Caenorhabditis elegans: one gene and its partners. The protein of the gene in region 1 interacts with the protein of each later gene in a pairwise test. Each region holds a gene or a part of one and is shown on either strand. Other genes may lie near its edges. The genes, in order: nhr-273, rcat-1, dac-1 and ceh-100.

Region 1 (6,758 bases):
GTGCTCTCATTGTTCTCGAGTTGTTGATCAAGGAGATCGGAGATGGAGTACAACCGCATCTTTCGATTCTTCTTCCGTTCCTTAATGAGCTTATTGAAGGTTTGTTTCGGAAATTTTGTAAAAATTACAATAATTCATTCATACCAAGAGATTCATCGTAATTTTTTTCTTTTTTTTCAGGAGAAATCGATAAATCAAAAAAAAAGTTTAGAAAGTTAACCATAAAATCCAATTTTTATTAGAATTATTTTCAAAATCCTTAATTTTTTAGTTAAAAACTGTAATTACTATATGAAACAAGCTTACATAAAAGTTATGAAAATCCACTTTTTTCTCGATTTTCTTGTCCTGAAGATCAAATTATTTGCCTATTATCCTTTAAAATTTTAAATTTCCAGATGAGAACAAACAAGTCGAGGCACAATGTCAAAAGGTTATCAATTCTCTTCAACACAAATTCGGAGAGACATTCTGGAGTGGCGGTTCATCGGCTTAAATCAAAATATTTGTTTTTTTGTTGTTTTAATTGTTGGTTTTGTGTCTTTTTTTCTAGCTGTTTTGGTTTTTAAAATTTTTTTAAATTTTGATGTTTCAATAAAAATCAATTATAAGAAATTGGCATCTTACGAGGATTTGAAAAAATCCATATTATTCATTAGTGGGCAGCCTTGCCCTAGTAGGATAAGAATAATTCTAATATATGTAGGCAAAAATAGATGGATTTTCCAAACTTTGAAAATTCATAAATCTCTTCAAAGTAACTTTTTTTGAACAGTCTTTCAGAAACTTTGTAGTAATTTTTAAGCTCTTTCAGAATATACCAACAATATTCTAGTAGGTACAAGATGCTTCACGTAGTTACAGAAATAGTACATTTTCAGCCCTACCTTTTAGTGCGTATTTTATTATTTAATGAAAACTACCATTTATAGACAAAAATAGATGGATTTTCGAAATTTTGAAAATTCATAAATCTCTTGTAAATAATTTTTTTTGAAATGTCTTTCAGAAACTTTGTAGTAATGTAAGGATTGAAATTTTTGAATAAATTATGAGTTTTATACAACTGTGTGTATATAAAAGGGGGAAAACTTGAAAATTATATATCCTACTTTTCAAAACAAATTTTAAAAAAAACTGAATAAATTAATTTGACAAATTTATAACCAACTGACCAAAAAATTATTTGGAACAATTTTCTGGAAAAAAGCTTTCGAAGAAGTTAATAAATTTTCAAATCCAATTTTACCGGAAGTGTAAAATTTCTCTATTAATTTTTTTGTTTTCCACCTCTCTCTTGGGCAACTACAAGAACTACATACACTCTCTCATTATCATTCTTATCATCAATTCCTCTTTTCTCTATTTCTTTTTCTCATCCATTTTCTCCAATTTCCCGTGATGGGGCCTCGATCAAAAGGGGAAAATCAATCGAAATGTTCGATTTGTCAAGAATCTGGAGATGGTTTTCACTTTGGAGCAGAAGCTTGCAGGTAAAATTTAAATTGTATACAAGACATCGCACAATTTCAGAGCATGTGCTGCATTCTTCCGGAGAAGTATTTCAGAAAATAAATTATATACATGTAGCGGAAATAACGATTGTGATGTTACTGTTAGTGAGTAAAAATTAATTGACCTGTTTTGAGCCAAAATTTTGGACTATGTTATAAACTCAAAGGCATTCTGTAAAAAAAAACTTCAAAAAAATAAAACATTTTCACTAAGGTCGGGCTTACAAGCCTACATAAGGCTCAGTCTAAGCCTCTAAGCCTAGGCCTAAGCCAGGCAGACAGGCAAGTCGGCTTGTTCTCTAAGCCCAATTGAAATTATCTATCTTGATTTGTTTAGACATCAGATGCATGTGCCGGGCATGTCGACTTACCAAATGTATCGAAGTTGGAATGAACCCTGTAGGAGTTCGGCAGAAGCCTGGTAGTTTCCGGAAATCAAAGGAACTCATCTCTCCCAGTTCATCAAATCATGACGAGTTCAGTCGAATGCCAATACTTTCAAAAATGAAATTGAACTATGAAAATATGAGAAATGCCAGGAAAGCATTGCACAATGAAGTTGGAGAAAATGTATTTGAGGAGAAGATTCCAAAAGAAATAAATTATAAAGAATCAGTTCAGCAGGGAATGAAGGATTATACGCTGATGCCTGAATGGGTGTCCTCTTGTTTTGATGAGTTTCGAACGTTATCCGCTGATCAGAAAGTGAGTCGGAAAACTTAAATGGCTATTTTAACACATCAAATGTTTCCCTATACCTTGAGGCAAAAGGTAGCCATGTAGGTAGGCGAAAGGTGCGTAGGTAGGCCCTCAGAAATGTGGCAGACATGTAGGTAGGACATTTGCTAAGGCATGCAGCAGATCTAAATATAGCGGTGCCTTACAGCCGTACCTACCTGCTTGTCTACCTATTTCATATGCCTACGTAAAATGTCAAAACATTTTTGAGCAAATTGAACAATAATGAGGCTAAAACTAGACATGTTAAAAATACTTCTATTTTTGAATTTTCCTTTTTTGCAGAATATCTTGTTCCGCAACTCCTACATTCCATTTTTCATGATGGAAACTGCATTTTTAAGTCATATCAACAATATGCCGGACTCTGTCATTTTCCCATCTGGAGACTATTGTGACATGAAAAACTTGGAGCGATACTATAATTCTACAAATTTTGAAAAAAAAATCAGCACGGAAGATATTGAAAAGTATTAGAAAAGAGATGGTTAAACTTAACGTTTTTTTTTTCAAATTTTCAGCTTGTTCAAGCCGTTCTACGACAATTACAAGAGATCTTTGCTCCTCCCAATGATGAATCTTCAAGTTGACATCTATGAATTTCTCACACTTTTTACACTTCTCCACTGGGATACTGGCCTTGTTGAGATCACCGATGAATGTCTGGAAATTGGCACAAAAGTCAAAGCAGAAGTATTCAAGGAGCTGGATTTCTATTTGACAAATGTGAAGAAAGTCGCAGAGCCATCAGTTAGAATAGGGACAATTGTCAACTTACTTCCAGCAGTTCATAAAAGCGTACGGAGAATACAGGATGACATGGAGATGACTAAAGTCTTTAATATTTTTTCGGCGCCCAATGAGTTTTTTGATCTTGTTACTGGCAATTTCTGAGAATAAAAGAAACAAAATTCTTGTTTTATTTGTTTTACTAATTCAACTTACAAAGGAATACGTTTCAAATGAATGCAATATTGCCTCGTAATTTTTTTCTTTTCCGCCTCTCACTATTTATCAACAGAAAACCATATTTTATCTTTCTATCTCCATTATCAATCATTATTCTGCACTTTGTGTGTTCATAAACTATTGATTAATTTAAAAGAAAAAAATTAAATTGCTAGAATGGGACCACGACAAAAAGATAAGGATCAATCGAAATGCTCAATTTGCCGAGAACCTGGAGATGGGTTCCACTTTGGAGCAGAAGCTTGCAGGTACTTATTTATTTATAGGTCAGACTTTAAAACCTAGATTTCAGAGCTTGCGCAGCATTTTTCCGTCGAAGTGTGTCCCAGAGTAAAACATATTTGTGTCAAGGGAATAACGATTGCGATGTTACTGTTAGTGAGTATTTTTAAACTTCTGTAAATATTAACATTTAATTTTTAAAGTACAAAAAATAACATATTAATCAATTCCTTACACAGGCATGTTGTACCTTTGTAAAAGCAAAAGAAAATGTAACATATTTTTTGGGAAAAAAGGGACCGCCTGAAAAAAATCACGGTCGTTTTTTTGAAGTTGTTTGGACCAAACTTTGGATTAGTTTAATTATTAAAAATTTAATATAAATAAAATTCAGATATTCGATGTATGTGCCGTGCGTGCCGTTATGTCAAATGCATTGAGGTTGGAATGAATCCTGTCGGAGTTCAACAGAAACCAAGACTACCCAAAAACCGCAAAGAAGTTTCAATTGATTTACTCTCGAGCCCCCGAACGTCCAACTCATTGATGCTCGAACTACCACTTACGGGTCAAATGCCAATTCTCTCAAAAATCCGAGCAAGTTACCAAACAATGTGCAATGCTCGGATAGCGCTTCACAAGGCTGAAGATAAAACTGTATTTGAAAAGAGAACTCCAAAGGCAGTAAATTACAAAGAAGCGGTGAAGCAGGGTATGAAGGATGTCACGTTGGCTTCTGATTGGGTCTCATGGAGCTTTGATGAATTTTCCAACTTGCCGATTGATCAGAAGGTAGGTTTTTAGGTTTTAGCAGTTAAAGTGGATTGTTTTTTTCAGAGAATTTTGTTCCACAACTCGTACACCGCATTTTTCATTATGGAAAGTGGATTTTCGAGTCATTTGAACAATACACCGGATGCAATAACATTCCCATCTGGGGACTATATTGACACAAATGATTTGAATTCATTTTACAATGGTACAGATTCTGATAAGCAAATTTCCAGTGAAGATATTAATAGGTGAGTAGGAAAAAACTCGATCTGGAATATGTCGTTAGAATATTCCAACTATTCCTGAAAAAATCAGTTATGTACAACAAATCTAAAAAATTTAGACTCTTCAAGCCATCCTATGAGCGCTTCAAAAAGTCAGTGATCTTGCCAATGATGACTCTTCAAATGGATATAATAGAATATCTTGCTCTCTTCACAATGTTACTTTGGGATACTGGACTTATCGAATTGAGCGATGAATGCATTAAAATTGGCGATAAGATCAAAACTCAAGTATTGAAAGAACTCGATTTTTATATGAGGAATGTAAAAAAAGTCGAAGAGCCTCTTGTGAGAATTGGAACTCTTGTGAATATTCTACCAGATGTGCATAAAAGTGTTCGTAGGATACAGGATGATTTGGAAATGACAAAAGTTTTCAACTTGTATGCGCCGTCCGATGAATTTTATGATCTCGTGATGGGAAATTATAATTGATATCATATTTTAAGTTTTAACTAATTTTTACTCATTTTACGATAAATGTATAATATATTGACAATCTGCTTAAAAGACGGCCTACGCCTACCTGAAGGAGTGCCTAAAGCCAAAATAGACGTGAAAATTTGTTTCAACTCACTTTAGTGTACTTTGCTTCTGAGTACAGAAAATAGATGGTAGGTAGGTAGAAGGTAGGCATATATATAGTCAGATTTTACCAATTCTCCATTGACATTGAATGTATTTAAATCGAGCTGAAAATCGAAAATTTGAAAAAATTCTCTGAAAAAATGAGAGTATAGGGAAAGATGTTCAGTGGACCAAATAACCGCTTAAACTCGCTAAACTGAGTATCTTCAAACTGGCGTATCTCAAAAAAAAGAAATATTTTTTATTTTTATTACATTAATTATTATTTGAATACACCAACTATTTGTTGAGTTACACAGAGTCAAAGCCATTTTTCCAAAATTCACAAAAAATTTTGAGAACTCTTTTATTGTATCCTTTATAACTCAACATTCATTGAATTTCAAAAGATAAATTTTGTTAAATAGTAAATGAAAAATATTTTTCCACATTTTATCAGTTTTGTTTTTTGATATTTTTATGTATTGTCAAGTTACAGACCGTTTTTCAAAAAAATCAAATTTCCGCCATAAAACTCTTCATATACAACGTATCGGCTTGAAATTTTGAGAAATGATCATTTTTTTGAGGTCTCTACAATGTCCTAAAAAATCTTTCAAAAAACACTGTCCATCTCCAAAATCGTCCTTTGCTCCGAAAAATGAAATGGGACTTTTGCTTTTCGAAAAATGGGCCAAAAAATCAAATTGCGATTTTTGAGTCGAAAAAAATATTTTTAGAATGCTGAGAACACGCTATTTACGAATTTCATGTTCATTTTAGGTGAATTCTTGTTTAAAATGACCTAAAAATTAAACAAAAAGAACATAATTTTAATTCTCACGTGAAATATTTTTATTTACAATAAAACAATTGAAGCACTGAGCAAGTTACCAAAAATTTTTACGTGAGAATTAAAATTATGTTCTTTTTGTTTAATTTTTAGGTCATTTTAAAGAAGAATTCACCTAAAATGAATATGAAATTCGTAAATAGCGTGTTCTCAGCATTCTAAAAATATTTTTTTCGACCCAAAAATCGCAATTTGATTTTTTCGCCCATTTTTCGAAAAGCAAAAGTCCCATTTCTTATTTTGGAGCAGAGGACGATTTTGGAGATGGGCAGGATTTTTTGAAAGATTTTTTAGGACATTGTAGAGACCTCAAAAAAGTGAGCATTTTTCAAAATTTCAAGTCGATACGTTATATATGAAGATTTTTATGGCGGAAAATGGATTTTTTCAGAAAACGGTCTATAACTTGGCGGAACATGAAAATATCAAAAAACTTAAAACTGATAAAATGTGGAAAACATTTTTTCACTCACTATTTAACAAAATTTATCTTTTGAAATGCAATGAATGTTGAGTTATAAAGGGTACAACAAAAGAGTTCTCAAAATTTTCTATGAATTTTGGAAAAATGGCTTTGACTCTGTGTAACTCAACAAAAAATTGGTGTGTTGACATACAAATTATTGAATTAAAAAGAAAAAATATTTCTGATCATTTTGTTGATTGGACATTTGTTTTCCAGATGTGTATTTTTCAAGATACGCCAGTTTGAAAATACTCAGTTTAGAGAGTTTTGGAAGTTATTTCATTTTTAGATCGAAAGCCGCCATCAACTCCAGTGCATCCTTGTCTGACACGTGTGATACTACGGCTGTACTATCCAACTGTACTATCAAT
Region 2 (6,915 bases), on another chromosome or scaffold:
TGCATAATCATGTTCAGAAAGTAACAACTCTGATGTTAACAGAGGTAGAGTTGTGTAAGGTGAGAATATTGATGCTTTGCCAGGAATAAGCCTAGATATTAAGACCGAGTCTCAAGACATCTGGAAACAAATGAAATTCTCTCGCATGGCACCAAACCGTACCAAACGTCAGTCTCCATACGGTAACTATGGAGCTTCAGGGTCAGGATCCTGCTGTGCTTGTACTCAAGGATCACCTGGACCACGTGGACAGCCAGGAGACGACGGAGAACCTGGACGTGACGGTTTCCCGGGCAGAGAAGGTGACAATGGTATAGCTGGAAAGTATCTACCAGCTCCACCACCAGGAACCAACGCATGTCAGAAATGTCCAACTGGAGCTCCAGGACCACCAGGACTTCCAGGTAAATTTGAATTGCATCAGGAAATAAATTTAAAAATTTGATTCAGGACCAAAAGGACCACGTGGACCAGCAGGAATTGAGGGTAAACCAGGGAGACTCGGTGAAGACAATCGTCCAGGACCCCCAGGACCGCCAGGAGTACGTGGAGAACCTGGATCACCGGGAGAGAAGGGACCAACCGGCGATCGTGGAAAAGTATTGAATGGAGCACCACCAGGTCCTACTGGCCCACCTGGAAAGGTCGGTCCACGTGGATTGTCTGGCGGAAAAGGACACGATGGTAAACCAGGACTTGGTGGGCAACCAGGTGTCCGAGGAGCCGTTGGAGCACGTGGAGATGCTGGAAACCCAGGACTTCCAGGACCACAAGGACCAAAGGTATGTTTCCGATATATTTTCGAACATTTTGAAATTAGTCATGACTTATATATGAAAGAATATAGCACGTATGTCTCCTTTGTAGTTTGTAGTCTGGATTTTGAAAAATGTTGTGTCTTTGCCTTTTGAAGGGATATTGGTTTGGAGTTAGTAGAAGGATATGGTCACGGTACCGTAGTAGTACTGTAGGGATACTGTAGGAGTACTGCAGGATTACTGTGGTTTGGGAAAATTCAATTTTCGTCTTTTGAAAGGATATTGGTTTGGAGTTAGGAAGGGGATAAAGTCAGGGTACTGTAAGATTACTGTAGGTGTACCGTAGAGTTATTCGGCAGGAATTTAAATGTTCTTAGAAAACGGCAATTCAAATTTAGTGAGAAAAATTTTGGCGAGAATTCACTATTTCTGAGAAAAAAAATTTTGGCGGGAAGTTCAATTTTTCTAGAATAACTGGAAGCTCCTAGAAATTCTAAAAAAATCTGGAGACTTCAATTACTTTTTTTTTAAGTCCTAGAATATTCTATTAAAAATCAAAACTCATATAACTTTCTTAAAAAATCTGGAAGCTTCTAGAACTTTTGAAACATTTGAAAACTTTTAGATTTAGTATTAATACATTTGTTATTGAACCAATCATGTGTTTAACGGAAACAATAATTTCAGGGAGAACCAGGAAATCCAGGAACGTGTCATCACTGCCAAAACAGAGCACCAGCACCTTCCGAGGCACCAGGAAAAGCTCCACCTCCTCCACAAGACTATACCCGTCCAGCACCAGAGTCGTATCCATCGGCTCCAAATGGGCAATATCTTTGGATCCATTAAATATTTTGCATAATTTTTGACTCATTGTTTCTCTTTTCGTCTTATTTTTCGCCGAATGATTCGAATGTGAGACTTGAAATATCATAAATCTTGTCAGGCAGCTGTGCCGAAAAAATTGTTTTTTAATCTACGAAAATATCGAAATTGTTTCCCGTAAATCGACAAGGGGCTGAGGTTTCTAGACCACACGGCCGTGTACTCCTCTCGGACAATGGATTAATTTTATCTGCTATAATTTTATTTTTCGATTTTCACACGTTTTCCAGTCAAATTTCGTAATATTTCATAATTTTTTATCATTTAAGACTCGAAAATGTCGATAAACTTCACGAGGACACCAAGATTATTACTTGACACAGTAGGTAATTCCATTTTTCTAGTTTTTTTCGAATTTAAATAATTAAAGTTAATTTCAGCCCATTACTCATCATTCTTGGAAAGCACAAAGCTTGTAAAGACTCGGGAAGTGAAGAAACCACCCAGATATCCAAACTTTTCACTGAAAAAAGATACGAAAAGTGGGGAGATTGCTTACTTTTTGGCAAAATAACTTTATTTTAATCTTTTCAGATCAAAAAATGAGCCAGCACTTTGATTATCTTCTAGTATTAGACTTCGAAGCCACGTGTCAAGATAACTGGAAAGGGCCGATGCATCCAGTCCAAGAAATCATCGAATTCCCAGTGGTCCAGCTCTCGACGGCTGATTGGAGTGAAATTCGTCGTTTTCATCAATACGTTAAGCCGACGGAATGTCCAAGGCTCACATCTTTCTGCACATCTTTAACAGGAATTATTCAGGTTTTTAATGCAAAAATTTCGAGGAAAAAATGCTAAAATTCCAGGAAATGGTTGACGAAAAACCGACGCTTCCACAAGTTTTATCGGAATTTGATAGCTGGCTGAAAGAGGATTCTCGACTGGAAAAGGGCAAATTTGCATTCGTCACTTGTGGAGATTGGGATCTGAAAGTCGCGCTGCCGAATGAGGCGAAATTTAAGAATATTGGAATTCCAGAGTAAATTTTTTAGAGTAAAACTGACAATTTGAGGCTGAAAATTCGTACAATTTGACTCTAAAAATCTGAAATTTCATTAAAAAACAATCATTTTTGTCCCACGAACCGCACAAATCCAAACAAATTGTCCTTCAGGTACTTCAATCAATGGATCAACGTGAAAAAGGCTTCTGCGGAGCACACAAATCATTTCGCGAAAGGAATAGCCCAGCTTCTGGCCATCTACAAGCTGCAACATCAGGTTTTCTACTGAAATTCTGAAATCTCAGCAAAATTCTAATTTTCCAGGGTCGCCACCACAGTGGAATTGATGACGTGGCAAATATCTGCGAAATTGTCCGGTGTTTGGGCATGAACGGGCACAACTATCAAATCACAGGCTCCAAAGACACAATGACGCGGAGGGTGTTCAGAGATGCGAGGAAATAATTTTTGTCGATTTTTCAGCAATATGTATTAATACGAAATATTGACTTTTCCGCCATTTTTCCGTTCAGAACAATAAATCTTTGCAAAAAATATAGCGAGAATATCGAATTGCAAGTACAGTTTCACGTATACGTTTCTAGAAATTAGATTTTTTTGGAAGTTTTAATCTGTCAATTCTCTCCGCCATGAGGAAGTCTACACACTGAAGAAGTTTCGCCACTTTCTTCCCTTTTAAATTGATTTTTTAACCGCTTGAAAATATTCATAAAAAGTTTTCTCTCTCGGTCCAATCTGAAAAAAAATTGCAACTTCAGTTGTATTTAATAAAGCTTTATAAGACACAAAAAATATTATTTCAAACATCGCGCTTAAAGTTCTCTGCAATGGAGCGGACTTGCAGACACGCAACGCGAACACGCGACGCGTCGAAGTGACAGGATTTACGAGCGTAAATCCTACCAATCGTTTTAATTTTCTATTTTCCTCTGATTTTTGTCAATTTTCCATAAACTTTTAGAATTTAACGCAAAAAAATTCACAAAAGTGAATGCCAATTTTTCTGGAACTGATAATCCTTGAAAACACGTATTTTTCACTTCCGGATATAGAAATGTTTGAAAATTGCAGGAAATGACCACAAATCCTATCGAACTCGAGTCCTGCATTATTGATCAGATACGATGCCCAGAATGCGCCCTAACATGTCTACAAAAGAATATCTATCGTCACATGACACAGATTCATAATTGGACAACTGAAGATTGTCAGGAACTGATTGCCGCTATAAAATCTGAAAAAAAGAGCCGAGCATCTAGCACATCGTTTGTTTGCTGCCACTGTAGGATGATATTTCGAAGTGTCAAGCATCTGGTTCAGCATAAAAAGGTAATACAACCCTATTCTTCTGGAAAACTAAATATAAAAATTGGATCTTGCAGATGTGCACTGAACAACCGCAACATGACAACGAGCATCTTGATGTTTATATAGATGAAATGATTGTTGAAGGAGAAGAAGAAGTTGTTGGAATCAATGAATATGATATCAATGAAACTAAAGAATCTACACAAAAACCATCCACATCATCTGGAGATAGTTTCGAGATGAATATTCCGCCACATCGACAAGCTTCTCGTCCAATCCAGCCACATCATTTAACGCAGGAATGGTTGGAATTAGAAAAAATAAAGGTTTCTGTCAAAAACTATGATTTTCAGCCAAATTGCCACCATTATTGAAAAACCTTCAAAATTCTCGTTAATGCAACTACCAGGAAAATATCGTGGATGTAATTTAAAATGTCCCGAATGTTCGAGTACATCAGAGTCGTTGGATGAATTTTTACTGCATTGCCGTCAAGAACACATGTCCCATGATCAGAAGTTTAATTTAGAACGAGAGTTTTTCCAATCAAGAGACCAGTTTAAGGTTTTTAAATATTCTCGATAAAATGACAAAAATCTAATTTTAGGAATGGTTCGATCAGAGACAGGAGGACACATGTACATCGTTGACAAAACGTACAGGACATGCTGGAGAAACACTTTATAGGTGTCATCGTGTCGGAAAGTATCAAAGTGTCGCAAAATCCAGGAAATCGAATCCCAGGAAGATTGACCAGACTTGTACAGCATATTTGAAAGTAAAACATTTTTTAAAAAATTTGTTTTAAAATTTTGAAAAATATTTCAGGTCACAACAGAAGAGGACGGTTCAACTTGGGCAACTGGATGCTTTACTCATATCGGACATGATCTTGATCACAAACTTCTATGGCTCACCGAATCTCAGGAAAAATATGTTCGTGAGCTAATTGACTTGGGATGGACTTCTGATCAGATCTTCTTCTTTATTCGGAATGAGTACAAGGACTACGAGTGTAAATTAAAATATATCTCAAAGAATGATATTAGGTGAGGGTAATCATCCGAAACAGTAGGCAAATATAATGTTTTTTGCAGAAATATCACAGTTCGGTACAATAGAGAACGGGAGAAGCTTGGTTTTTTAACGGACACTGCAAAATCTTCTGCGATTCCGATTAGTTTGAAAGAGCGGCGAGCCGTTGCTGCAGATAGTACGAAAGAACCGAGAGAAGAAGATGATGATGAGGTTAAGGCGAAAATTCCAAGGATGCAAAGCAAACCTGATAACATTGAAAAGGTTTACAGACGGTTAAATTGTTCTGAAAACTCAAAAATTGAATTTTCAGGCAACTACTTCAGAAAATAATTCTGCAAAACATCGCGAACAAGTTGTGGATTCAGAAACTGCGGAAGAAGATGAATATATCAACGTAGTTGATGTGGATACGATGCCACCAAACGATGCTGGAAAAATCACAATTGGCTTAAATTTTTAGTCGATTTAATACATTTTTGCGATATTAAATATGTTGTTCTTGTTATTTATTCATATCATGAAAGTTTATTAGATAATTCAAATCGAAAAAGAGTTATATCTCAAATGCCTGACAATAAACGCTGTATGCTGATGGCTGAAAAAAATTTGGGCAAAAATAAAAAGTTGTCTGGTTTTGTTGAAAACGGGTAATTCATGTATGCTGAATTCAGAAAATCTAGGTTTAACACATCAAAAACTATTCAAAAGTGGCAAAAATGCACAATTTTGAAACTCCTCTAAAATGGGCAATTTTGTAGTTAGAGGACTCAAAATTGATCTCCCAATACTAAAAAGTTTCCCTTTTTCAAATTCTAATGGTTCTGTACAATTTCAAAAAAAAAAATTTCTTGCCCAAAAAAAGGGCAGTCATATATTATTTGAATATTGTCCAAATTTGTTGAAAACGGGTAATTCATTTATGCAGCGTTCAGAAAATCTAGGTTAAACCTATCAAAACCATTAAAAACTGGCAAAAATTGGGCAATTTATTGTAAAAAATCACTCTATTGAAACTCCTCTAACCGGCGGCAGCCGATGTCGAAAAATACAAAACACCTGTCGAAAAATGTAGAAAAATATATTTTGTATTTTTCAATATCACATGAATAACCCCATTACTTTTTATGTAACTGATATGTCATGTTAGCAGACCTGTAGCATTGTATAATCGGATATTTTAAAAGGTTGACATTACATTTTGCTCCTTACAAAATATGGAATAAAATATGTGTTGTTAGCATAATTTTGAATGTTCAAATCTGATTTTATAAGCGCAAACTACTGTCCGCATGATTATGGGTCACACTGTATCTGGAAAATGTGCAAATATTATAAAACAATTGTTAATTTATCTTAAAAATATGCGGTTATAATGCGTGTGTGTTACTCGATGTGAACCAGTATCCAGTATCTTAACATGGAATAATCGCAAGTGTCAATTGACGGCTTATGCCAGTTTTATCGTATGTTCCTTTTTCCACAAATCTTTATCTTGTAGCAAATTGTGATAAGAAACTATTAGGCGATCAAGTAACTCAAACAAGAAAAACGAGTATAACACCAGGCTATGAGACATATATAATCTTTTTGAATCCAGCAATAGAACATCAAAAGTACCCAATGTTTCTCAAGTTACTTTTATTTTTATCTATATGCCACGTTGCATTCGCATTTTTCTTTCCAAGAGTCACACCTAATGATGGATGTGGTTGTGGATGTGGAGGAGGTGGAGGTGGAGGAGGTTGTTGTGCACCACCACCACCACCGCCGTAAGTTTCAATATATTAAATTAAACTTAAGTACAAGATTTTCAGAGTGTGTGGCGGTTGTGGCTGCGGAGGCCGTAAAAAGAGAGAAATCGGACATGTCAAAGGACACTTGGCACATAGAGATAATGATCAGGAATGGAATAATCAATGCAACAGCTTAGAGTTTTCGGATGTAATAGTAAAGGTAGTTT
Region 3 (10,392 bases), on another chromosome or scaffold:
GTAGTCACCGATTTGTTTCTTCTTAATGAATCAAAATTCATGATTTCAACCCCGTAGTCACATATCCTCTCCTTAGTTGTAGATCCTTCCCTCCATCCCGTTCATCCTCAAATCACGAGGAGCTTCTCTTCTGTCGGTCTCCTTTCCCTCGATCTCATCCCAGAATGCTCGCCGAAATAATTATTTCCGAATCGTGTGTTCACCATTCACCATCCATCTGATATATCCTTTGTCAGCTCTCTCTTTTCGTACCTCGGATCCTTCCACTACCTCCTTCGACAAATGTTGTTCCCCTCCCGAAAGCAACAATGTGATAGGCAACGACTCCTTCTCCCATTTTTATGTGTGTCTGTGCGTGCGTAGTTGTGTTTTCTGAGATTCAATTTCAACAAACCACGCACTTTTTCATCATCATTGACAAGAATATGTTATAAAACACTGTGATTGAGGAATAAATTATTGAGTGCTGTTACACATTTTCTTTAGAGTTTTAAACTCTAAAAATGGCCACCAGAGGCGCCTCGAGCTTAATTTTTTACTTAAAAATTAAGAAAAAATGGGCAAAATACTTGCAAAAAACGTTCTGCAGCATTTTATATAGTTTTCTGAGAAATTGCTTGAACGGTAACAATGAGCTTTAAAGTTCTCATATTTACCACGGTTGTACGATTTAACAAAAATCTCCATACACTTGGTGTCAGGTCTGGACAGTTCTGTTGCCACTTTGCTAAACAAGACAACTGTTTTCATTGAATTTCATTCCTACAAATACGACAGTAAAGTTTATATTTCCCTGTTCTCTAGAACATGACATTAGAAACCATTCCCAACAATCGTTTGAAAAAGTTGCATTAGCAAGGAGAAGAATTTAATGTAAAGAGACAAGTAGATAAGGATCTTAAGTTGTTCGTTTAGTTCGTTTTTTCGGTGAATGATAGAATGAATACAAAAAGGTATTGAACTGTTCCGAAAAACTATTAGGAACTTCCCGAAATTAAGTTTTGAAAATAATCACAACTGATTTAACCATTTGGATTATCCAGTTGTTGAACCACATAATCACTTTTCTACTTGAAATCGTTGCCATGTTGCAAATCTAGATTGAGATTTAAATCTTCATTGGCTCCAGATTCTTGCCTCAAAAGATGTTTTGGAGAATGTTTGGTTCTTACCAAAAATTTTTGATTATGTACTAAAATGTAAAAAATGATTTTGATTTCCTATGATTTCCTATGACCTTTCAGTGTTTATTCTCAATTCGGATTGTTTAGCAAAAAAAAATTAGTTCCGGACAAGTCTGACACAAAACAATTTTATCACTGATCTGAAATTTGTCTCAACTTCTAATTGTAAGAAAAAGCTTGTGCGGTACATATTTGACTCCTGAGTAATATGGTTATACAGTTTTTGTTACTATCTTCCGAAAAACATCCCCCGCCGCACTATACATTCGGATACATGCGGCGACTTCATGAAAGCCCTAGTCTAATTGCGTTTTAATAAGAATTTATCCGGATGATCACTGTTTTATAAAGATTGCCAACTAAATTGATATTTTTTATAATTTTCACAAATAAGCGTACTGTATCAGCTCTAATTTGCCTCAAGAACTTGCACCACTATAAAAAATGAATTTCTCATGCGTCTAGAGCTCAAATTACGTTTCACTCATTCAGCCATGATTATATCAATGCAGATGTAGGCTACACGTTTAGTAGCTTCAGAGCAGCAGCAAGTCTATAAATACCCAAAAAAAATTGGAAAGCCTCTGAATCATTGTGTGTGTGTGAGTGAGCAAAAGTTCAGCTACAAAAATGGATTTTGATCTCTTGTTTTATGGCTTCAATTATCAACATTTTCAAATTTTAAATTATTTTTTCCCGAAATTTAAATTTTTCTGACTTTGAATTTTTGACTTTTTGGCGATTAAATGAAGCCATTTTTCGAAATATTTTTTTCTTGGCGAGAGAAAATAATTATATAGAGGAATGGTATAAAAAGTTCCAAATTTAAAGGGGGAGCTGGATGTTTTTCAAGAGAAAAGAGTACAGTAAGATTTTAATGAAAAATTTCTTTTCAGCTGGAGAAACTTAAAATTTTCTAAAAAACGGCACATTGCCGGAATTGAAAATTCCCGGCAAATCGGCAAATTGATTTTTGGAAATTTCTGAATTTCTACTTCAATTGGCAAAATTGAACGCGTCCTACAAATGTTCCTACATCTATTTTGAAAAGTAAGCAAATTCTATGAAAATATTGAAGAAAACGGGAAAAAATTTCAAAAAGGCAATCAAGTGTTTCCGTCTTATAAAAATTCCTCTAAACATTTCCGGCAAAGCTGATATTCGACGAAAGGCAATTTGGGAATACGCCAAAAATGAAAATTTCCGATAAATCGGCGAACCGCCAATTTGCCGATTTGCCGGATTTGTTGACAAAAAAATTGTCGAACGGCAATTGCCACCCACCGCCCACTGGCACTAATTTCAAATACTTTTCATAGCAAAATCCACCACAGGGACATTTCATAGTCAAAACAATAATTAAAATTAAAATTAAATGTTTTTTTTAAATTTTACTCTGACTGAAATTGATGACGAGAAGGTAAATATTCAAATTTCTCGTATAAGACAAACTTCTCCACAAAATCTATTTTCAGGTTACAAATCAATTAGAAAAAAATCCATTCATGCCGATTTTCTCATTCCTTTCCTCCTTTTTCTTTTCCTCCTTCATTCAATAGCAATAGCAATAAACTAAGTTTGTCTCAAGGTGGAATGTCCTGTAATGTAATGAACAGAAGAACTCCTATTCAGTTCTTCGTCTTCGTCTTCACCTGTCTTCAAGATCCTAATCTGCGAAATGATGGCAACCACATTTCACCATTCAGTTGCGAATTTCTTTCATCTGAATGTGAAGAGTTTCGTGTGTCTTCTTGAACCATTCGAATGAATTCGCTGGCAGCAATGCAGGAACTCAGCCAACTTGGCGGATATTTTCAAAAACTTGCTGCAGGTATTTGAAAATTTCAAACCGTTAAAAAATGAGCCCTTTTGATTCCGTGACAATTTCTGACGTTTTAAGCTAGACTTTTTTGAAAGAAATTTTTTTAAATAAACTTTAGAATATCTAACTGATTCTGACTCCAATTCAAAATAAAGAAGAGAGATTTTTCTTTGATATAGAACTACATTTTTCGCGTCAAAAAGTTTTTGACTTTTTTTTCTCGTTTTAAGAAACTTGTTATAACCTGAAACATGAATTTGAGTAGCGGACGCCTTGGGACGATCTTTTAAAACATACTAATTTTCTAATTTTCTTTGTGGATTATGTAAGTAAGCGTTGTAGAGTAAGTTACTCCTTTAAAGTAACAAACTATTGTATTATCTCAATAGTCTTGCAGCATCTATTGCTCTCACACCGCATTAGAGCATACAAGTCATTCGAAAATCATTTTTACGTGCAAGGAGATACTGTGCAATTCTTTCCGGCAAGTCGGCAAATTGCCGGAATTGAAATTTCCGGCAAATCGGTAAATTGCCGGGATTGAAAATTTCCGGCAAATCGTGCAAACCGGCTATTTTCCGATTTGCCGAATTTTTCCGAAAAAACGGCAATTGCCGTAAATGTTCGGCAAATTATAGCTTTGCACATTGTTTTTGGAAGTTGCCGGAATTGAAAATTAAAAAACAAAAAAATTTGCCGAACGGCACTTGCTGCTCTCCCCTGATACGTATGTATATCAATTTTTCATTGCTCTCTAAAAAGTGATGTCATTTTCTTGAAGATATTTTTCCCAGAAAGCTCGGAATCAATAATCGAAGCTGACTTTAAACTTAATTTCAAATGAAATTGTGACGTAGAAATTCTGGAACAATAGGGTTGATCACCATTACGAAATAGACTAGGTATGTCATCAATAAGTACGTCAGTTCTTTTTTTGCCTATTTATTCCCCACATGAGCGTCATCTAATACATGCTTACTCTATCAAAAACGAAAAATCGGTAAATATTTATGTGTAGGAGCACTTAGAAATATTAGAAAATCACCCGTACATTACCTGTGTGAGGATTTTCGGATGGTAATCCGGATTTGTCGGTGGGATAACGGGGTTGTGCCAGAGAAAAATGAGGATACCTTATTTTCGCGCTCACTTCAATTCCTATTCCATTTCACATCAACATCAAACATACAAATTCTACCTATTGCTTACAACTATTATCAGTATTTGATTATATGGATATCGATGAAAGAGGTTGATGTACACATGGTCTAATAACGCATGTTGTTTCAGATTTGAGAGTTGTAGTGATAGTTTAAGCGGCGAAACTAAACTTATCGCCATTTTTTTGGAATTTTTTTGAAAAACAATTTCAATGTTTTAGAGGTGTTTACTATATTAGGCAGATAAGCAATTCGGTTAGTTAAAAATTTTTTGGTAGGATTGAGTGAAAACTCTTAAAATTGCCGAAAAAGTAGTATTTGGGTTATTAAGATGCATCAACAGCGATTAGAGCTTGCAGAATATTTGAAGATGGAGTAGCACCAGTGGGGGAAGTGTTAAAAAGTACTCATAGGTGCCAAAATGACAGAATATCATAATAAAAAAAAAACTTTTCAAAAATTTTTTGAAATTTTTTTATTTACTGTCAAAAAGTGACAATTACTCAGTTTTTGCCACTCATAATTTTGGAAGTCGACCAAAAAATTTTTTTTCCTACTTTTTTATACTGCAATTTTGTTTTTATTATTTTTATTAAAACATTGTAGGGGTCGGAACATGCGACATTGCTTTGGATCTCCTTAAAAGCTCTTTTTTTTTTTGGCACTTTGCAAAAATTTGTCCGGAAATTATAAAAAATCTAAAACTTTTTGGAATGTATTATTATTATATTAAGTCGTTCTGGATCATTATAAATGTATTTAGACAAAATCCCCAATGGCGCTACTTCACCTTTAAGCTGAGCCATAAAATGTAGTATGCCAAGCGTTTCCAAAAAGAACAGAAAGAGTGTAAAATTAAAAATTCCAGGCGGATTCGTGATCAACCCATCTTCTTCTTCTTCCTCATCGAACAATTCCTCATCTAACACTTCTTCGTCCAATTTTCTATCTCCATATGAGTATCAAGAATCCTCGACCTCACCACGTGACACTACAGATTCATCTGGTGAATCCTCGTTGTCCTCTTCTGGCTCTTCATCTTCACTGAATGGTTCTTGTAATGTTGCAGCCAAGTTGATCAAGTTCCGCGGGCATAACGTCGCCGCTTTTGACATAAACGGCAAAGAAATGATTTGTTTGCCTCAGGTATGAGCTTTTTTTGTGAAAACGAAATAGTCTAGAAGACATGAGAAGTTTAGGTGTACGAGGTATTTCTCAAAAATATGGTAGGAGGACTTCATACGGTATACACTAAACTCAAACGGTTGTACATTCATCCGATGGTTTGCAATGTAGAACAGGTAAAAATTCTTGTCCACTAACAAATTTTAGAATAATTTGAAAATTCACCTGACTGACAATATTCTAAACCAATTAAATAACCCGTAAAAGAATCTGATGTTTAATCTCTTTTTTAAAGAAAATAAAAATCTCTCATAATCCGCATGCAAATACGGATATTTTATCGTTATCCTTCTATAAAATCTCCACCATCCACGACTTTTAGGTGCGCGCCCTTCGATCACTTGGAGCTATCCAGCCGGGTGTCAACCGATGTAAACTACTCAAGACTTCGGATTTCGAGAAACTCTATGACGATTGTACAAGCACTTGGTGGGCGTTTTTACTTTTTGGGATCATCAGGTGATGAAAGTGTCATATTTCCAAAGTAGCATCAAACTTGGCTTGGAAATTTTGATTTCTGATAACTCTGTCAAGTCAGGCGAATGCTATTACGCTATTACTATGCGCTTAGCTTCATAAGATAGAGGTTTTTTCACTTCCTATTTTCCAAGCTACAGAAGAAACTACGACAAGTTATTTTACTTTGAAAAAAATGGATTTTCCAGTTGGTAGAAGATTGGTTTTTTATGAAGAGTATGATATGGAGAGTTTTAAACCTCCTACCGAAGAAACAACTTCTGACAGGTGATTTCTAAGGTGTTTCACGAGAATTGTTTCCTTATCACTTACATTAGGGATCCCAGCTGAAATGCGGGCCTCACGTCGACGCCGCTGTGTGTGCACAACGGTGTGCGAAAAGCTAATTATTTGGAAGCGGCCGACACATTCGGGGTTCAGCGCGGCACTATACATTCGGATAAATGAGGCGTGATTGACGCCGTGAGGCTGGCGCAGGCGACGTGGCGGCGACCTCATGGGAGCCAGAGGTGGGCAGATATTTTTTCGGATATTTTCTAATAATGAATTTATCAATTAATATTGATGTAGTTATTCTGGAAGAAATGTATCCGAACCAAAGAGTGGGGGGGGGGGGGGGGCCTATTAAGCAACATTTTAATATGATAAAACCTAGAAAAATTCTACAAGTTTTCCTTACCGAGACCTTAAAACTTATTAGCCGAGCAACATCGGATATCGGATATTACGGATATCGGATAATGGACTTGCATATCGTTTATACAGAAAACTTGTAGAATTTTCCTAGGTTTTATCATATTAAAATGTTGCTTAATAGTTACTCTTTTGTTCGGATACATTTCTTCCAGAATAACTACATCAATACTTATTGATAAATTCATTATTAGAAAATATCCGAAAAAAATATCCGCCCACCTCTGATGGGAGCCCTATTGCAAAAAGCGTCCCTCCTGGATGAAGATTTACCAAGGTTAACCCGGTTTTCGTAGAAGTTTAGCATAAAGGATCAAACTTTAAATGATTGACTGCTACTGTTGAGTACGTAGTTTTGGGAAAAAATAGCTCTAGTAAATATATTAGCAAATCATTAGAGCATTAGTTCAGAGATTCAATAGGCACTAATAGTTGAAATTAATGTCCCGAAAACATTGCTCCTGAATTTCAAAAAAATCATTAAATTTAAGAAGTACATCTAAATATTACTAATCCTTCGCTTTCAGTACCCGCCCTGGGCGCCCATCAAAAAGAAGCTTTGATGATTGGAATAACGGCGCAGTAATAATTAAGAAAGATAAAACGGATTCAGGTAAACTTTTCACAGATATACTCGATTAATTCAATTTTTTAGAGCCTGTGAATGGGCCCGTATTCAACCAACTAATGCAACCGCAAATGACGCCTCAACAAATTTTGATGCAACACTTTGTTGCGCTTTCTCAGAAGACGAAAAATAGTTTTGAGAGGTTAGTCGAGTCATTTTCTATTGTTCATAACTTCAGCAATGTTTAGAGCAGATGATGATGATCAAAATCAGAGAGACGCTGATGATATAACGCCATTGAATCTAAGTAAAAGTGGAGGAAATTCTGAGAATGACTCAGATTCTTTAGAAAATATGAGAAAAGAAGATGTGAGGCACACATTTATAGTTTGTTTGCATCCAACCTTAAACATTTTAGTCCTCACCAAACACGTCTGTTAGTGATCGTGGTGGCTCCAACTCAAATTCATTGTCAATGTCAATGGAGGCTGGGAGTAGTAGTAGTAGTGGCAAAAACGATGAAGCTTCTATGATGAATAAAGTAATGTCCTTAATTGAACTTGCTAGCCAACAGTTCAAGCATGAAAGAGAAGAGCTATGGAAAGAGCGAAGTGAGTTTTGGACTATATTCTTCTTGAATAACACATGGTTCATTGCAAGGGTCCTACATTTCCAAACATTTTAAAACTATTCTTGTCACTTATTTCTCAAGACCTGATAACTGTAAAGTATTTTTACTAATCCTACTTTTTTGATCTCCAATGCCTTCCATGACTAATCGTGAATAAGGTTTCAGACAAATCTCTCTTTTTCTGAAATTCCACTCTTTTGAAATGTATTTCAAGTCTAATCCGGTATTTTACTTATTAAGGGAAGCCAAATGAAACCAATATTATTTTGAAACATTTTAATGAATGATATCAGTTTTTTCTTACAATAAGTGAATATGTTTTGAACGGATAGGGCGAATTTTTGATTGATATAACAACAAAAAAAAACTACGTAGCAAAAATAATTCAAAAAATAAGTTTTCAGGCGAAATACAAGTTCTTCGAGAGAGTTTTCACAAGATTGTGCAAGAAGAACGCGATTTGCGCAAAAAGCTCGAAACTCAGAACAAGAAATGCACGGCTTTCGAAAAACGCTACAAATATGTCAAAAAACAACTATTGCTGGCGAATGCGGACCTGAGAAGATATAAGGAAAAGGAGGAGCAGTCTTCGGACGGAAATTCTGTGGAACTTTGAAGCTTTTTTTTTGAAATCAATTCAATTTTTTTCAGAATTACGAACTAAGTATTTTTGTGTAGAAAAAAGCACTAAATAAACTGTCATATGAAATTGCGATTTTGTTGACAAAAAATGGAAGACAATAGAAATTACATTTTCGCGTATTCCGATTCTTTCATCTTCCGATTCCAACCGTTTTTCGTAAGACTCCCATGAGGTCGCCGCAACGGCACCCGCGCCAGCCTGAATTTTTTAAGCATATTTTTCAACAACCAGGAGGATTTTTTCAGCAACCAGGAGGACTCCACAGTGGTAAACTTCTTTCGAGATTTTTAAAAGATCCAGAAATCAAAATTTTGATTTTTTGCGGGCATGAGATGATGGATTATCCTCCCCCAGCCTCCCCACATATTGAATGATCGGAATCTGCGGGGCGCTTCACTGACTGACACAGGAAATAATTCATCATATTTGTTGTGTTGGGATAAGCATTGACAAGATGGATCACAAGTGGCGAACTTTGGTTTTTTAAGACGGCTGATGGGATATCTAGAGTGCGTCGGAAAGTTAACAGTGTATGTTTGACTATTGTTGCTCCCCTGCAACAATAACACTGATTTTCCGCACTTTCAGAATGAATCTGGTCAAAATTTGAATGCATCAAAATTCGACTATTACTGATTACCTCTAAAGTGTTAAAATTCGTTGAATTTTTTTCTGAAAACCAAATATGATTTATTTTGACTACTTGAAAGCGATAAGAATTGGCTTGTGTAATTCGTATATGAACCTTGTTGTGAAAAAATTCCAGATAAAAACTGAAATGGACCTCTCTAAGTACTCGTTAGCTATATCAGAAAGGATCGGAAACTTTTCAAATCAACAAAATTTGTTTCGATCACAACGTGTCTTGTGCACAAAGTCCAACAGGATTGCTTGACCACAACAATATCGTTTTTTTTTCATTATTTTTCCACCAGAAAGATATCAAAAAGCGTGATGGAAAAAAGAAATGCCAACTGTTTTATATCTTCCCAAATTTTCCCCTTCTCTCAATCCACACTTCTCTTTTCTCCTGGATCCATCATTTGCTCAAAGTTTTCCTTTCCATTTGCTCCGGGTGTCCTCATGTCCCATTGACCTGATTTATGGGAGAAATGGAAGAGGGCTTGTTTCTTTATGATACCCAATAAACTTTCTACCCAATGTGTACTTTTTGTTTCTTGTCTCTAAGATGCTTTTACGCACAGCAACTGCCATTTTCTTTTTGTGTTTTAGATTTTTTAAAATTAAGTATTTATTTTAAAACGGTAGGAAGCAAAATTTTAAGCGGCATAACACAAATTGTTTTAACATTTTTTCATAGTATCTTTGCACTAATTTCAAGATTCTTATGCACCAAAAACATTTAGACTTTCGATTTCTAAAAAGTGCTCACAAGTAGGTTGACAATCTAAAACTCTTTTCAAAAACCTGTTTTTTAAAATTTCCTTGGATATTGAATGTCTTCAAAACTTCGAAAGTAGTGCTAAATTGCACTGAAACATTTTTAGGTCGAAAAGTTGAAATGTGGCATTATTTTATATATTGAAATTTCAGATGACAGCTTCACTAATTTTATTACCGGTATTACTAAACATACTCTATCAACCAGCAGGATCATCTCTGCCTACCTTTTCCCCGGGAAACAAGCACCTCTGCGAGGGCTTTGGGTGAGTTGTATTCATTTTTAAAAAGTGTTTCACAAAAACCAGGGCTCCCAACTGAGTGAGGCGCGAAATGCGGGCCTCACGCCGACACGTGTGCTATGTGGCGATAGGTCGCAACAGGTCGACCTAGCCTATCTTTGAGCAACTTCAATGAATAAAGTGTCTACCTCGAAAGAAAATTTGAGTAAATGGATCATGCTAATGTAATTTTTATTTTCAAAACTATGATTGAATTGTTGGTGAAGCTCTGCTGTGAAATAGGCAGGTCGACCTGTTGCCACTTATCGCCACCCTAGTGTGCGCAACGTAGTGCGAAAAAGTCGTTGTTGACGTGTTCGGGGTACCACCCCGCACTATACAGTCGG
Region 4 (7,618 bases), 8.2 Mb from region 1:
TGACTTGTCAGCGCTGTCAGTTGGAAACTAAATTTTTTGAAATCACCGTCAAATATTTTGAGTATTTTGAGTAATGTTATTATCTTGCGTTTTCAACTCGATTTAGGTATTTTAAAGTAGATTACGACGGCGGGATTTGGTTTTTTTTTTTTTTTTTAATTAAAAATCTCGCCGTCCATCGACTTTAAAATACCTAAATCGAGTTAAAAACGCAAGAAAAAAAACTGTATACTCAAAATTTGACGGTGATTTCAAAAAAATTAGTTTCCAGCTGACAGCGCTGACAAGTCAAATTTCAAATTTTAACTAATTTTAGGCCATTTTTCGAGCCGTCATAACTTTTTTTTGAGAAGTTTTCAACAATTTTCATTATGAAATTCGGTGTTATCAGACAATTTTGAGTCTAATAAAGCAATTTTTAAAAATTCGACTACACCACCTTTAATTGAGTGAAAATTCGATTTTCCATGGCTTTTTTTTGGTGTAAAAATTGCATTTTTATACTTTTTTGAAACGAATTTAAAGGTTTATAGAGCATTTGGTACAATTTTCAAATTTTTTTTTGGGGAAATATTCATTTTGTAATATTTTGGCTTATTTTTTGAGTTTTTTCGGGGGGAAATTGAGTTTTAAACGAGTGAAAATTAGATTTTCTGTGGCTTTTTTAGTATAAAAATTATATTTTAAACATTTTTAGCGTTTTCCAAGTTTATAGAAAATTTCGAACAGTTTTCAGCATTTTCAGAGCGAAAATATTACCGGTACAGAGAGTGTAGATAGTTAGAGAGTGACAGACATCCGGGACCCAATGGGGTGGGGCGCGCGGAAGAGACGATTTGTGTCGATTTACGAAGTTCTCCTCGTTGTCATCATTTCGTAAATCGACAAAAAACCGTCTCTTCCGCGCGCCCCGCCCCATTGGGTCCCGGATGTCTGTCACTCTCTAACTATCTACACTCTCTGTACTGGTAATATCAATTTTTTGAACATTTGGGCAATTTTTTGAGAAAAAAATCTCGTTTTTAATGGAAAAAATCAGTTTTAGCTGAAAAAAAAACAGTTTTTACTGAAAAAACACTGTTTTTACCGGAAAAAAGTTTATATTGAAAAAATCTTCTTTTTTTACTAGAAAAATCTGTTTTCAACTGAAAAATCTGCGTTTTACATCAAAAAAAACTTGACAAAATCGATTTTTAATGCACAACTTTGCTTTTTTCTACAAAAAAAAAATCAATTTCCATTAGAAAAATCTGCGTTTCTCACTTCTAAAAATCAGTTTTTACTGGAAAATTCAGTTTTTTAATGCAAAAAAGTAGAAAAAACGGATTTTTTTAATTGAAAAAAAAGGTTGTTACCAGAAAACTACGTTTTTTTTTACTGAAAAGCCGGTTTTTTCCTGAAAAAATCGATTTTTTACTAAAAGATTCAGTTTTTCACTGAAAAAATCAATTTTCTATCCATTTGTATAGTTAATTCCAATAAAAATTTGTACCAAATTAGCCGACAACTTGGTAACATCCAAAAGTCGATTCTTTGTATCAGTATCCAAAATTGGATTTCTTTCGTAAGCTTCATTGAGAATTCTCATTTGTTCTGGAAGTTCGACACTGTTCTTTTGATGAGCTTCAAGTGCATGTCGGCGACGTCTGTTGAACCAATCTTTCACCTGAAAATTAGAAAAAAATTAGAAATTTTGGGTGAAAATCTGGAAATTCGGCGGCGTTTTTTGGAGTGAAAATCTCGAAATTTCATAGAAAATCGTAATTTTTTTTTGTGAATTTTTCAGATTTTTTAGGGCTTTTTAATGAGAAAAATGTGAAAATTGAACATTTTTCGTGGAAAAAATTGGAAATTTTGGGTGAAAATCTGGAAATTCTACATTTTTTGGATTAAAAAACTCGAAATTTCAGTGAAATTCAACATTTTCTGTGAATTTTTCAGATTTTTAGGGCTTATCGATGAGAAAAACATGAAAAAATGTGAAAATTGAACATTTTTCGTGAAAAAATAGAAATTTTGGGTGAAAATCTGGAAATTTTACGTTTTTTGGACTAAAAATCGTGAAATGTCAGTAAAATTCAACATTTTCTGTGAATTTTTCAGGGCTTATCGATGAGAAAAACATGAAAAAATGTAAAAATTGAACGTTTCTCGTGAAAAAATTTGGAAATTTTGGGTGAAAATCTGGAAATTCTACGTTTTTTGGATTAAAAATCTCGAAATTTCAGTGAAATTCAACATTTTCTGTGAATTTTTCAGATTTTTAGGGTTTTTCGATGAGAAAAACCCTTTAGAAGGGCATTTTGGCGCTGAAAAATGAGAAAATTGAACGTTTTCAGTGGAAAAAGTTGGAAATTCTACATTTTTTGGACTAAAAATCTCGAAATTTCATAGAAAATCGTGATTTTCTGTAAATTTTTCAGGTTTTTTAGGGATTTTTAATGAGAAAAAATGTGAAAATTGAACATTTTTCGTGAAAAATAGAAATTTTAGGTGAAAATCTGGAAATTTTACGTTTTTGGACTAAAAAACTCGAAATTTCATACAAAATCGTGATTTTTTGTGAATTTTTCATATTTTTTGAGGGCTTTTCGATGAGAAAATAACTATTTAGAAAGCCGTTTTGGCGCTGAAAAATGAGAAAATTGAACGTTTTCAGTGAAAAAAGTTGGAAATTTTGTAGGAAAAAACTCGGTTTTTCTCAGAATTTTATCAAAAATTTGCCGGTTGTTTCTTCAAAAAATCGGGGTTTTCTTCATTTTTATCGGATTTTCTCCAAATTTTCCAATTTCCAGCACACCTGCGTGGTGGTCAAATCGAGTTCCTTGGCCAATTCCTTTTTCGTTTCCTCATTAATAAATTGACAATTGATGAAAACGTCGTCAAGCACACGAGTAATATATTCTGGCCATGGTGGATGTGATCCAATTGGAATTCCAGCACGAGCTCCTTTTTTCTTTGCCGGGGACGGGGTCCAATCAGCGTCCTGGAACTTTTTGGAGGGTTAGAAGTGATTTTTGTGGTGGAAAATTTGGCTTAGAATCGATAATTTTGGGTTAAAATGTGGAAAACGGACCGAAACCGAGTTTTCCGACTAAATTTCAAGATTTTTTAATTTTTTTGCTCTTTTTTCTGACATTTTCTGTCAAATTTCAGGCATTTTGTTTTTTTTTGCTGCAAAAATGTTAATTTATCGATTTTTAAGCTAATTTTATAATTTTTTTAAAAGAAAATCTGGGAAAATTGGCTTAAACGGACTGAAATGACTTATAAAATACTTTTTTTTCTAATTTTTTAAGTTTTTTTTCTTGAAAATTTTGCAAAAAAAGGAGGTTTTTTATCGAATTTTCCGACTAAATTTCAAGAATTTTCAATTTTTTAACTCTTTTTTCTGACATTTTCTGTCAAATTTCAGGTATTTTGGTTATTTTTTTGCTGTAAAAATGTTAATTTATCGATTTTTAGGCCAATTTTATGATTTTTCAAATTAAATTTTGAAGAAAAATCCAGAAAAACCAGGGAATTTATCAATCAGCGTCCTGGAACTTTTTGAAGGGTTAGAAGTGATTTTTTTTTGATGGAAAATTTGGGAAAATTGGCTTAAAATTGATAATTTTGTGTTAAAAAGTGGAAAACGGACCGAAATTACCTATAAAATACCTTTTTTTAAAAGCATTTTTCAATGTTTTTCTCTGATTTTGCCAAATTTCAGGCATTTTTTTTTTCGCAAAAATGTTAATTTATCGATTTGTAGGCCAATTTTTTGATTTTTCGCGATTTTTCAAATTAAATTTTCATGAAAAATCCAGAAAAAACGCACTATTTGAATTTTTTTCGTTGGAGAATTTTTTAAACTAAAAATATGTGAAATTGAAGAAAATCGTGGTCTAAAAATCTTTGTTTTTTCAGATAAAATTTGAAAAAAATCGACGAAAAATTGATTTTTGTCGTTTATAACTCAAAAAAATCAATTTTCGAGCGAGAAAATTCAGAATTTAAATATTTTTAAAATATATTTATTGCGTGGAATTCCACAAATTCCACAAAATCCCCAAAATCTGCCAATTTTTGGGCCAAATTTTCCGATTTTTTCAGTATTTCCATTTTTCCAAGTTCCCCAAATCCCCCACTTGTAGCTGCTGCTCGACGACGTCCTGCTGCGGCTCCAGTTCTCTCGGAAAAAACGGATCATTTCGTGCAAGATGATCGCGTAGAAATTCTCGTTCATCGTCGAGCTGCTGGTGTTGCTCATGCATTCGATGATGCATCGGTCCAGAAGTGACGGCCGAGGACACGAATTGCGGTGGTTGTGGAAGCTGTTTTCTCACATATTTTCGTTTTTGTGGGGGTGGTCCCGAAGTGCTGGGACGATTGTGAAACATCTGAAATTTGTGGAAAATTCAAGAAAATTCAGGAAATTTGAGTTTCAAATTCGAAAAAACCGCGAAAAATCGTTTTGAATATAATTTATTTCGCAATTTTTCACACAGAATTCCACAAAAACTCAAAAAAATCCAAAAATCTACGTAAAAATAATCGATAAACCGTTCAAATGGAATACGCAAAATTTCCTCTCACTCTCTCCGTCTCCGCGGTCTCTGTACTATATCATTTGCCGTCTCTCTGCGTCTCTGTGAACAGGGAACGCGAAGACCAATGAAAATTGGAAATTGTAATCGTTTTCTCGCAGAAAAATTGTTTAAATTAGTGAAAAAATCGAATTTAATTTATTTTTCAACATTTTTAATCTGAAAAAATGACTAAAAATCGATAAATTTGAACGAAAACTGATAAATAATTCCCAAAATTTTGCAAAAAAAGAACAATTTAGATGCCTACAGTACTTTAAAGGCGCATCACTGGTATGATGCAATGGGTCTCGAGTGGAGATTCAGATTTTTTAAGGAATTCTATGGAAATTAAGGAAAACCCTGGATTTTGAGGGTAAAAATGCTTGAAAAAATATTTTTTGGAAAACTAACAATTAAATTCAATAATTTTCCTTCTTTTTATTTGAATTTCAATTCAGAAAACCGGAAAATCTACGTTTCTCAATTCTCAATGGAGCGCGATTTCCATAGAGACTTGCGCGGAAATTTAAACTTCTGAAATACCAATGGAATCATAAAATCATGAGAAACTGCATCGTGAGATGTAAAAAGAGAGCGCACGAAAATTTCCACCCGAAATGTGTGGAAATGAGAGAGAGGGAAAAGAAAACGGGAGAAGCGAAGCGGCCGAAGAGTGGCATTTCCCATTGTGTGTCTTCCCCCTTCTTTTTACATTTCCCGATTTCGAATGTCCTTGAAATTAAAGGCGCACACCATTTTTGCATTTGACAAAGATTGTGTCGTGTCGAGACCTGATACCGTACTTTTGGCGCACAAATCGTAAGTTTTTGCGTTCGTTAATCGTATTTTTTCACATAATTATTAACATTCCAGTTGTCTTTCCTCATCGTGTTAAAGGCAAGACTACTCACGGATTTCTGGCTTCGCTCAGAAATTGAAATGGAAGAGTTTGCCGAACTAGGCCATTTTGGCTCAGCCATATCTGTGGTAGTTTTACGGCGCGTTGCGTGTCGCGTCGCGGCTCGATCTTAGTTGTAAAACTAAATGTATTTGTCCGTGTGGAGTACGCGTTGTCCGGCGGGCGATTGTCAATGGAGCGCGAGAAATTCAATGAGGAAGGCCAGAACCAGGTGACTACTCAGAAATCACTCTTTTTGATCTTTGAATTGAATAAATCATTTGAAACAACACTTATTCGGAAATGCGATTATTCATGTCTGTTAAATATACCGTTTAATAGGATTATTTGGGAGAGAAAACAGACTAGAACAAAGTTGAATAAATAAACCTTTGAGATCTTCGAAGATACCGATGAGTCTGGACACTCCAAAATAGTGCACTAATCCAAGAATTGACGATGGTGATTCCGGCAACTGCCGTCAGTTCCAAGCCTGAACATTGAGCTTGACAGGCAACGCGTCTTGTTTCCCAAAACATTTTAAGACGTGATCTCTGAAGAAATTTAGTTTAAGCTCGTTAAAAATATTTTCGTAATCCGAGACCGATTAAAATACTCCCTGTCTCGAGGAGAGTTTGACACCTTGATACTAATTCAATCATGATAGGTACCTTAAAAGTTAAAAAAAAATTGCTCAGTACCTGAAGTAGCGATACAGTGATTTCATTTGACGAAAAACTGTGAGACAGACGTTAAACAGTTTTTTGACGTTCCAGACACAACACATCATTCCATCAATTATTCCGCAGACTTATTTCTTATATGGATGTAATTTTTACAGAATATACAATAAAAAATGTTCTTGTTGCAATATATTAATAGGATACAATAGGATTTCCCGGTACAATAGATGGAAGGATACAACTTCTGACTGCAATTAAGATTCCTGAGTTCAGGCAAGCCTAATCGTAGATTTTTCTTTCTGATCATAGAATTGAATGAACTATTTGACACTATATTCACGGAAAAATGGCTATGTGAACCTCAGACTTCCTCTAAAACATTTCAGAACATAATCCTAGACTTTGTTAAAATTTATTCCAATTTTATGCTAATCTCACGAAAAACGGAACATAATTTCAAAAACGATAAACTAGGTACTTCCCCGTATAAAAGAGAACCCCTAACTCCACAATCTTCACTCCATCATGGCTGTCTCCACTGTCCTTCTAGTCGCTGCTCTCCTGAGCACCGCCACCGCGGATTTTTCCCCAAGTTTCCGTGCATTCATTCAAACAACTTATGGGTCAGCAACCTTGAATGCACTGGCTAGAACTGATCTTGGAGCAGCTGGAAGTTATGGAGGGGGACTTCATGATGGTCTCAGTCCCACTACGTAAGTTAATTTTCCATGAATAACTATAGATATTCTGATATTGTTAAGCCGAACACCTGTCATCCTAGTTCATGGAACTACCAACAGCGCTGGTACCTTTGCTCCGCAAGCAGCATACTTCAGAGCAAATGGATGGTCAGAGGAGACTGTATATGCTACCACATACGGTGACGCAGGAGTTACTACGGCTACAAATGTAAAAATGCTTTGTGAATATGTGCAACAGATCAGAAATATGATCATTGCTGTGAACGCCTTCACTCAGCAAAAAGTAAATGTCATTGGTTACTCCATGGGATCCCCAATTGCCAGAAAAGCCATCCTTGGTGGAAAATGCGCTGAGAATACTGTTCAATTGGGAGCTCCACTGACTAGTATCATAGAAACCTATATTTCTGTGGCTGGTGCTAATCGTGGTACATCACTCTGTGACATTCTTTTTGCTCCACTGGTTGTGCCAACATGTAACACGAAAAATGGACTCAAATGTTCATCAGATTTTCTTACAGACATCCGTAGTGTGTAAGTTTTACTTGTAACTGGTTTTATTTTTTGAAATATCAAATATTTTAGCTCAGCTTACGAGGGACAATACATCTTCTCAATCTATGGACCTAGCGATGACAAGGTCGGATTTAACACCGTTTGTGGACGTGTTTCTAGAATTGATGGAGCAACGGCCGAAAAGGATAATGTCAGTGAACCTAATTTAAAGGAAGTAGGGAGGAAGCTAAATTCTTGATTTTCCAGGTT

The links.
Region 2: the proteins of nhr-273 (region 1) and rcat-1 interact in a two-hybrid assay, tested with the Caenorhabditis elegans proteins (one large-scale study listed by BioGRID).
Region 3: the proteins of nhr-273 (region 1) and dac-1 interact in a two-hybrid assay, tested with the Caenorhabditis elegans proteins (one large-scale study listed by BioGRID).
Region 4: the proteins of nhr-273 (region 1) and ceh-100 interact in a two-hybrid assay, tested with the Caenorhabditis elegans proteins (one large-scale study listed by BioGRID).

Annotation. Positions count from the first base shown.
Region 1 is NC_003280.10:4,432,002-4,438,759, forward strand, and holds nhr-273 (Nuclear Hormone Receptor family), read left to right. Parts: upstream 1-3,298; 5' UTR 3,299-3,377; coding exon 3,378-3,469; intron 3,470-3,513; coding exon 3,514-3,599; intron 3,600-3,837; coding exon 3,838-4,235; intron 4,236-4,280; coding exon 4,281-4,465; intron 4,466-4,560; coding exon 4,561-4,936; 3' UTR 4,937-4,997; downstream 4,998-6,758. Other genes in the region: toe-1 (HEAT repeat-containing protein 1 homolog), read left to right, coding at 1-99, 399-496; nhr-109 (NR LBD domain-containing protein), read left to right, coding at 1,402-1,493, 1,534-1,619, 1,852-2,219, 2,538-2,722, 2,774-3,146.
Region 2 is NC_003282.8:252,195-259,109, reverse strand, and holds rcat-1 (C2H2-type domain-containing protein), read left to right. Parts: upstream 1-3,680; 5' UTR 3,681-3,683; coding exon 3,684-3,938; intron 3,939-3,991; coding exon 3,992-4,221; intron 4,222-4,270; coding exon 4,271-4,481; intron 4,482-4,524; coding exon 4,525-4,695; intron 4,696-4,745; coding exon 4,746-4,966; intron 4,967-5,014; coding exon 5,015-5,216; intron 5,217-5,265; coding exon 5,266-5,415; 3' UTR 5,416-5,491; downstream 5,492-6,915. Other genes in the region: dpy-9 (Nematode cuticle collagen N-terminal domain-containing protein), read left to right, coding at 1-59, 104-404, 451-782, 1,446-1,607; R02D3.8 (Exonuclease domain-containing protein), read left to right, coding at 1,921-1,969, 2,024-2,125, 2,178-2,407, 2,452-2,624, 2,760-2,865, 2,913-3,053; grl-19 (Ground-like domain-containing protein), read left to right, coding at 6,576-6,724, 6,770-6,908.
Region 3 is NC_003281.10:813,305-823,696, forward strand, and holds dac-1 (Dachshund homolog dac-1), read left to right. Parts: upstream 1-2,840; 5' UTR 2,841-2,966; coding exon 2,967-3,015; intron 3,016-4,165; exon of another isoform or gene 4,166-4,257; intron 4,258-5,034; coding exon 5,035-5,312; intron 5,313-5,365; coding exon 5,366-5,467; intron 5,468-5,673; coding exon 5,674-5,780; intron 5,781-7,048; coding exon 7,049-7,134; intron 7,135-7,176; coding exon 7,177-7,291; intron 7,292-7,337; coding exon 7,338-7,458; intron 7,459-7,507; coding exon 7,508-7,700; intron 7,701-7,744; exon of another isoform or gene 7,745-7,765; intron 7,766-8,124; coding exon 8,125-8,336; 3' UTR 8,337-8,426; downstream 8,427-10,392. Other genes in the region: clec-149 (C-type lectin domain-containing protein), read left to right, coding at 9,918-10,030. UniProt on the Caenorhabditis elegans protein: Transcription factor. Plays a role in the thermotactic response.
Region 4 is NC_003280.10:12,599,299-12,606,916, forward strand, and holds the start of ceh-100 (Homeobox domain-containing protein), read right to left. Parts: upstream 4,383-7,618; coding exon 4,131-4,382; intron 2,993-4,130; coding exon 2,801-2,992; intron 1,667-2,800; coding exon 1,493-1,666; intron 1-1,492. Other genes in the region: lips-15 (LIPaSe related), read left to right, coding at 6,678-6,865, 6,914-7,387, 7,439-7,559, 7,616-7,618.